Regions from separate parts of the Mus musculus genome. Here region 2 is reported to be linked to region 1. Evidence: microRNA targets listed by miRTarBase, many of them from high-throughput screens and not tested one by one. Region 1 holds a microRNA gene; the other region holds the end of a gene's coding sequence.

Evidence for each region. The annotated mature microRNA mmu-miR-495-3p reads AAACAAACAUGGUGCACUUCUU and lies in region 1 at 1,546-1,567, opposite strand. An mRNA with a match to its seed (bases 2 to 7 or 8) in the 3' UTR can be bound and repressed. Matches are read on the target gene's strand: a 7mer-m8 pairs with bases 2 to 8, a 7mer-A1 pairs with bases 2 to 7 and ends in A, and an 8mer does both.
Region 2: miRTarBase lists Set as a target of mmu-miR-495-3p. Seed matches in the 3' UTR shown: 7mer-A1 at 2,550-2,556.

What each region holds. Positions count from the first base shown.
Region 1 is chr12:109,716,296-109,720,361 of GRCm38, reverse strand. It overlaps Mir495 (microRNA 495), which reads right to left and starts at 1,608; the gene lies at 1,546-1,608. It overlaps Mir666 (microRNA 666), which reads right to left and starts at 3,277; the gene lies at 3,179-3,277. It overlaps Mir543 (microRNA 543), which reads right to left and starts at 3,104; the gene lies at 3,029-3,104. It overlaps Mir667 (microRNA 667), which reads right to left and starts at 356; the gene lies at 265-356.
Region 2 is chr2:30,070,256-30,074,320 of GRCm38, reverse strand. It overlaps Set (SET nuclear oncogene), which reads right to left. Exons shown (of 8, transcript NM_001204875.1): 6 at 3,966-4,065; 7 at 3,734-3,880; 8 at 1,744-3,402. The coding sequence ends at 3,379. Among named protein-coding and RNA genes, the nearest start is that of Set, 5.8 kb to the right of the region's middle.

The DNA of each region.
Region 1 (4,066 bases):
CTCCTGTGAAAAAGACAGCTGGTGAGGTATTGTGCCCAGAGAATATTCTACCCTCAAAGATGGAAGGCTCCCTCTGGGCCTATACGTACCTGGGATGTAGGGGTGAATAGCAGCCCTTAGAAGCCTGCCAATAAAGCACAAAGCTAAATGTGAAATGGAACTGAACAAGTCCGGTTACCTTGGGATGACCACCAGAGGCATTTCTGTCCAGGTGTCCTTTGCATTCCTTGGATGAATCCAAGACAAACTCCCCTCCAGAAGTTTGTGGGCCTAGGGGCCTTGGGCTGGGTGGCAGGTGTCACAGATATAATGTATGGCGTGCTCACTGCTCCACCAGCACCGAGGCCAGTACCCACTAGATGGAAAGGGATTTTCAACCTAAGAAAATGGGTTGACCATGCTTGTTCCATGCCCCTTAGCCTTTCTCCATGGGTATAAAGGGAGAGTTGCTGCTTTTCCAAAGGTGTTTCCATCTTTTATAGGCAGAAGCCAAAACACAGGTACAGCCACAGCCCAAGGGCATCACTGAGCCAGTAGAAACTAAGAGCTAAGTGTGTGGCTAATCCTGGTACCTCTTAGATGGAGTTTGCACTGGGTTTTGATGCGCTATGGTTGTTGAGCCACGTAAGTATAAACAAAGCTTTTATTCCAACTTGAGCAAAGAAAGAAATAGCTAGTATCCTAGCAAAGGGTTGCCTAAGAGTGATCCCATATCTTGTACTGGCTCAGCTTCGGAAACCCTCCAGGGGAGATGGATGGATGAGGTGTTCTCATACTCTCTGGATTGTATCCTCCCTCCCACTCTCACAAGAGAGCCACCAAAGGGCCCTGCTCAAACAACCACACTCAAAGGCAATTTTGATGCCATGAGGAGGCTACCAGAGAATGTTAGCCATAAAGAGAAGTTCACTAGGGAAAAGGGGTCTGAAGTGCCGCCTTACATCTACCACTCCAGAGGGCAGGGGTACCAGTATCAGAGATAAGAGACAGGCAGCAGTGGCTGATGACAGCTTGCTGTTCCCTGGTCCCAATCGTAGCCAGCACCCACCAGTCCTCAAGGCCTTGCTAATGGCATCAAAGAGCACAGCCCGTAGACATGGCAGGATGCTGGTAAAGAGCTGATCTGGGGCCCAGGCTTTTCTAGAGTCATAGTGTTATGTGACACTCACCAACTGACATATCTTGGTAAAGACACCTGCAGCTGACATCTAGACACATGTCTCCAGAAGGAATTGGTGGTTTGGCTTGTATTGGCTGTTTGATTAAATTGCTATTGTTTGGATTTTATAATTTTCTGGGCTTCTCTTATCTGAACTCCATCCTACAACAGAGCCTAAAAGTGCGCTTCCTGGTTTCCCTTACTGACTGTGCCTGTCCCAGGAGGTGGGCATTCTGGACCTAACAATGCACAGAGCCAAGAGGGGCAGGTGAAATTGTGCTTCTTTGAGGTAAATGCCCCTGTGCACATGGTGACCCAAACCCCCTGGCCTCCCGTCCTCCCTCTGGTCCATGGGGAGCTCTCCAAGGTGAGATTTGATATCGAAAAAGAAGTGCACCATGTTTGTTTCGTCACAAATAAAAGCGAAAAATAACATGGGCAACTTCTTTTCAGGTACCACGGCTGAGCTCTTGCTTGTTCCAGCAGTGTGCCTGAGTGTGAAGGGATGCTGAGGGACAGGCGGAAGGAAGGGATGGTGGGTGAGGCAGATACTTGGCCGGGAGGGGGACAGGGATGGGGGTCCTGAGGCAAGGGGAGTGGCTCAGTACTCATCACTGCCATAGCAATCCAGCCCAAACCCCCTCTACCTCAGGATCTCAGGAAGACCTGGGACGAAGACTGAAGATTCTGAGATGTTGCCTACCATCCTTGCCAGTCATTCTGAAGTGTCACTCGGGGGAAATGGGATGGTGCCAAACTCCAAGACAGAATCTCCTCTCTCAGTTCCAGGATCCTCTTCTGAAGCTGAGAAAAAAAAAAAAAGTCAAAGAACTAGGTGGCAAAATCCAGGGCAGCCTAAACCAGCTGTGTGAGTGCCTGGATGATGCCCTCTGAGGTCCCCCCTCTCCCGCACCCAGAAGTGACTTACGATGTAGACAAATACAACAAAGAGCTCACAGGGTACTGGGAAGCAGAAGAACAGGTTGAAATGGGAGGCTCCAGGATTCTGAGCGTGTGAGATGTCTGGGGATGCAATGTCCGTTCATCATCTTGCGGCTGTCCTGAACGGGACATATGACCGACCCTTCCCTGAAAACAAAACGCATTGATTAGTGTGTGTTACCGTTACTGGAAGGTTACAACACTACAGCAATATATCTGAACCACAAAGGAAAGTGACTTGGTACCAACTACCTACCTTAGACTGGACAATGGGAATAATGAGCAAGAGAACATACCATCCAAAGAATGCCAGTTACACTCATTGACAGGCCACTCAACAAGGAGCCATCCATTCCTCTCATAGTAAGGAAAGGCCCACCTCAAGCTGACTTACACACAAAGGAGGCATCCAGGCTAATATAACTTAAAGGTACAGTGACGTGTTGAGCTTCAAGGAGTGTCGGATGCAGGTCCCAGATTGTACTGTTACTCAAATGTCCCATGGTTCCTCTGGGACAGGCACTTCCCCCTCTGTCTAAACAGCCCTGGGTACTGTCCTCTTGAATTCTAGCTGGCCTTCAAACTCAGGGAACAGTGAGATCCACTCAGACATCTCTCACAGAAATGAAGACTCATTCCCCTCCCAGAAGTCTCAGCAAACATCTCCCTGTGGGCTAAGGTCTCATCTAGGAATCAATAATGTCTGGTCAACTGGTTCCTTTGACACTGTGTTGTGGAGGAGGGAGGAGGGAGCAGGAGCCAACCAACCCAAACCCATTCTCATTAAGAAAGGTCAGAGGACCATTCAAGAAGGGAGATAAACTCACACAACCCAGGCTCACTACATAGACTACTTTCCTAGACTAACATGGCTTCCCTGAAGTCAGTAAGTAGTTGAACCCCCGAAGTCTTCAACGTAGAATAGGATGCTGAAAAAGAAGTGCACCGCGAATGTTTCGTCACATATAAAGCGAAAAACACGCGGGCAACTTCTCATTAAGCACCGTACGTCAGCAGCATGGAACCCTGTGTACCACTTGTGTACCGCTGTCGTCACTTCCTGTGGCTTGAGTACCGCTGTCGTCACTTCCTGTGCGTGAGCAGGCGATCACGCTGCAGCCCCGCTGTACCTAGGGGGCTCTCACAGCTGTGCCCGCTCCACGCAGGCAGAATCAGGATCTTGTAGACAGGCTTTGGATTGGTCATCCTTTGGGGAGGTCTTTGGAGTCTCCTCAAACATCAGAGAATGATATAATAATCCTGACTTTGCTTCCCAAAGTCCAGCTCTGGATCCGTGACAAGAGAGGAGGTGGGTCCCGTGACCTCTCAGTCGAGGTCACCACCCATCTGCTAGAGGGGAGGACATCAACCTATGTTCCACGGTGGAGGCCCTGATGCAAGGAGGTTATCATGAAATGGGAAACAAAAAGATATCTGAGCCTTTGTCAGAACGAGACAATGTCTCCTGGACAAAAATATATGTAAGTGGCATGTGGTGTTCTGAGAACAGATTCTGTTGACCCTCCACTTGCTGGGAAATGGAACATTGAGATTAAAAAAAAAAAAGAACATGAATAAAGATAGACTTCTTAGGTGTTCCAGGTAGATAGTTGGTTGCCTATGCTTGTACACATGTTCTCTCCCTCATGACATGGCTACAGGGCACCTCCCCACCCTTCATTGGCTTGACCAATGAAACATGAGCAGAATCACAGTAGTTCCTAATCTCAGTCGGAGAGTTCCTACTTACTTTCTATGTCTCTGCCATGGCTGCAAGAACCACTTGCCAGGAGCCTGGAGGAGGGGCAAGGAAGCCACCTTCACCCCCAGGGTAGCAATACATCAGGAGGTCGTCCTAGGTATGGAAGGCATACTCAGCATTAGTAAAGAAGGACACACATGAAAATATAATATATTCTTTCAGACAGAACACCATGACATACCTTTTCCATTGATGAGGACTCT
Region 2 (4,065 bases), not on the chromosome of region 1:
AACTGCAACCCATTAGACCTGATAAAAATTAGAGATGGGGATGGTAGAGCATGCCTTCAATCCCAACACTCAAGAAAGCAGATCTCTGGATACCTGGCCAGCATGGTCTACATAGCAAATTCCTAGAACAGTCAGGATATAGACACCTCAAAAGATATGCAAACAAACACAAGACCACCCATCCCCAATTAAATGTGGGTGTGTGCTCAGGAAATGGCTCAGTGGTTACAAGCATCTGTATACCAGAGTCTGAGTGTTTGGATCCTACCACCCATTAGGTGGTTCACAAATACTGTCCTGCTCCAGTGGCCCCGCCAAGGGAATATCCGCTTACAGGGCATATGCTCAGACATTTTACACAAACTCAACACCAACACACATACACAAAGTAACTTTTTAAAAGACTTTATATTTACAGGTGAGTACACTGTTGCTGTTCAGACACACCCAAAAGAGGGCATCAGGTCCCATTACAGATGTACTCACAGGGCTGTGGTGTTATCGAAAACCTTTTTTCCAAGCTGGGCAGTGGTGGCGCACGCCTTTAATCCCAGCACTTGGGAAGCAGAGGTAGGCAGATTTCTGTGAATTTGAGGCCAGCCTGGTCTAGAGTTCCAGGACATCCAGGTCTCAAAAAACCAAAGATACCAAAGCTTAAACTTGTGCTTTTTTGTAGCTCTGGCAGTCCTGGAACTCTGTAGGCCAGGCTCCCACAAAACAAAGCAGAGCTTTGTGCAGCTCTAGATGTCCTTGAACGCAGAGCCTCCAGTGTCTGCCCCAGTCATGTCAACCCAACCACAGGCTATGCTCTACAGGGAATGTCAACCACAGGCTATGCTCTACAGGGAACGCTGCTTTGGAACTGGGATGGGAAGCAGCTCACTAGCAGCTGCAGAAAGTCACCCTCTCAACATGCCTGTTACTAGACCACCGATTAAAAGCATGCACAACCCCATCCAGCTAAATTTTTTATTTTAAAACAATGAAACCTTAACTTCCCACACCCAGTCTGAGAGCTCAGTAGCTAAGCAATGTGGCCTGTTATGCTAGCCCTTCCCTGTCTCATATACCCCTTCATGACAACCCAGGTTTGGCTTACTTCAACCTGATTTTCTTTTTTTCGAGACAGGGTTCTCTGTGTAGTTCTCTGGAACTCACTCTGTAGACCAGGCTGGCCTCAAACTGACAAATCCGCCTGCCTCTGCCTCCCAAGCGATGGGAATAAAGGCGTGCACCACTACCGCATGGCTTCACCTGATTCTTATGTGAGATAGTAACAATAGCAGGGGAACTAGAATCTCTAGGCCCAAGGACTTTTAACTCCCTCTCCCGTCCTTCCAGAAAACTGTTCTTGCAGACATACAAGCAAGCAAAATACTCATACAAATAATCACACAGAGCACACATAAGGAAGACCGCAGTGCAGTGGGTGATGGGAAGCTCATATTCCCCAAAACCCACACACATACAAAAACAAAAGGGAGTGTAGAGACATAGCTCAGTGATACAATGCTATTTCTATTTTGTCACACACACACATATACTCTCTCTCCTGGGGTCAGTATTCATTTAGGTCAGCACCCTCCCCCAACCACATGCAGAGTCAAATGGTTATGAATCTGGTGTCCACAACCAACCTTCTGCACACCATTTGGGCCCTGATTACTGCCAAGCCAGTATCACTTGAACCCCAGCCATGACTGCATCTTCTAAGTCACTACAAAACAAGGAGAATGACCCCAGTCCAAAAAAAATCTTTATGTTCCTTTATTGGAGCAAGATTCCTGACGTATACAGTGATGTATTTACTAAACAGAGTCCTGTGCAGAAATTACACACTATCCATCTAGACAGATTTTGGTTACACTTTGCCTATTGATGGAGTAGTTCCATTTATAAAGTTTTATACATCAGAAAGCTTTGAATTTGACCAGGCTGTCCATTAATCATCTCTGAAAAAGTGGCATTGAATTTTAGCTCTATTTTACAGCATTAAAAAGCTTACGCATCAGGTAGCTTCCCAAACATTATCCTCTGCCCGATGGCGCTGAGCAGACAGCTCTTCATCCACCTACGTCAGTCTCACATCTGAGAGCTTCTGCTACATACCTGTGACAGACACTACCAACCACCTCACTGACTGCTGACCCTGACAGTTCACACTGCCAATGAGGACACGTCAGCGGCTGTCCCTCATAGATGGCACAGAGCAACGGGTCAGTAACGGTGGGAGCAGGTAGGTGCTGCCGTGAGGTCCGGGTAAAGGCCCATTTTAAAAAGAAAATGCCAAATTGAGATAAAAATCAAGGGTATAAGTCCACAGCAGCAAGCTGTGCCCACAACTCAGTACGGAGACGTTAAGACATGATTCAAATCCCTTTCTCAATCTGCACAGCCCTGAGGTCATCCTGCAAAGTGCGTATCAAAAAATACGAAGTTGGGGAGACAAAGTTTGACGTGATGTCATTATGCAGTCAAACTTGGAAGGTCTGTTGAGCATCTGTTGACAGAAAAGCATCAGGTCCTTTGTGTACACACTGATTTTATTGTAACAAAGCAACTTGTACACTTCAACATTTAAAATGAGCATCTTTTTCCTTCCAGTGAAAACCAAAAAAAAAAAAAAAAAAAAGAAAAAGAAAAAGAAAAAAATTAAAATTACAACAGAATGTCAACTCCAAATAAAACCATACAGGTTCTGCTGATTCTCCCATTGAGTGTCAGGGCTCAAGTCATCATCAGGAGAGAATTTTATTTTAAGTGTCACCTTAAATTGCAAGGATGTCTGTTAAACCACACAATTAAACATGCCAAAGGAGAAGCCATGTTGTCAGATGCCCACCTACCCCAGACACCTCAAACCCACCCTTGCTCACCGTCTATACCCCCCCTTTTTTTCTTTTTTTTTTTCTTTTTATTAAACAAGAGAAAGTAGACAGATACATGTTGGTAAATGCTAACTGTCTGTATTCACATAGAGACACAGTGTAATCTCTGAGCCCAATATACAGAGAAAAGAAGAAAAGCTAAAATTCTATAAACTACTACACAGGGGCCTAGCGCCCTCCAGCAGAGCCAAGGGAACTGGAGGGCTTTTCTTTTTTCCCACAGAGCATGGTGGTGTGGAATCCACAAATTTAGACAAGAAAGGATAAAAAATGAATTAAGAACAGAAACGGAGATTCTTTTCCTGTTGTATTTTGCTCAAGATACTTCCCCCCAAATTAATTGAGAACCATGATGTTGAGACCTCAAAACAGGGCGACTGAGCACAGAGGGACAGGGAGGAAAGGACTGCAACTTGCTCCCAGGGACTGGAGAAAATTAAAAAATAAAAAGAAAATAAAAAAGAAGGTTGGAATCCATCAGTCTTCTGTGCTAATCATCCTCGCCTTCGTCCTCCTGAAAGAACAAGGAGCAGTCAGCCTCCAGCGCACGCACCCTGCCCTTCACCAGCTCTCCCAGCCTAAACTGGAATCTTCATTAACTTAGCACTGATGTGGAGGGACCCACAGCGGCTCACAATCTCAAACCAATGGGATCCTACACCTTCTGAATCATGCAGTGCAGACACATACATAATCACCCATACATATATAATTACATTTAAAAAAGAGGGAAGACTCAGATGTTAACACTCCACTCCCACAACTGTCCCACTATTCCAGCCAGTTCCCTATCACACATTATATTTTATAAATACTGGGGCTTGGGTGTACCTCTCCTTCCTTACCTCTCCTTCCTCCCCTTCATCCTCATCGTCATCTTCTTCACCTTCATCCTCATCTCCTTCTTCATCAATATCTTCCAGCCCCTCCTCCTCTTCGTCGTCGTCATCATCATCTTCTGCCTCTCCTTCTTCATCATCCATGTCGGGAACCTGAGAGCAGCAGGCAATGTTCTTTTAGGGACTCATTCATTCTATTGGACACATTACCTCTTTCAAGCCACTGACGCTTACTCACCAGGTAGTACTGCAAGGGATTTGGCCAGATGTCATCTTTGATGACCTCTCCTAACTCATCAGCACCTGCGTCAGAATGGTCAGTAAACCAGGTAAAGAAG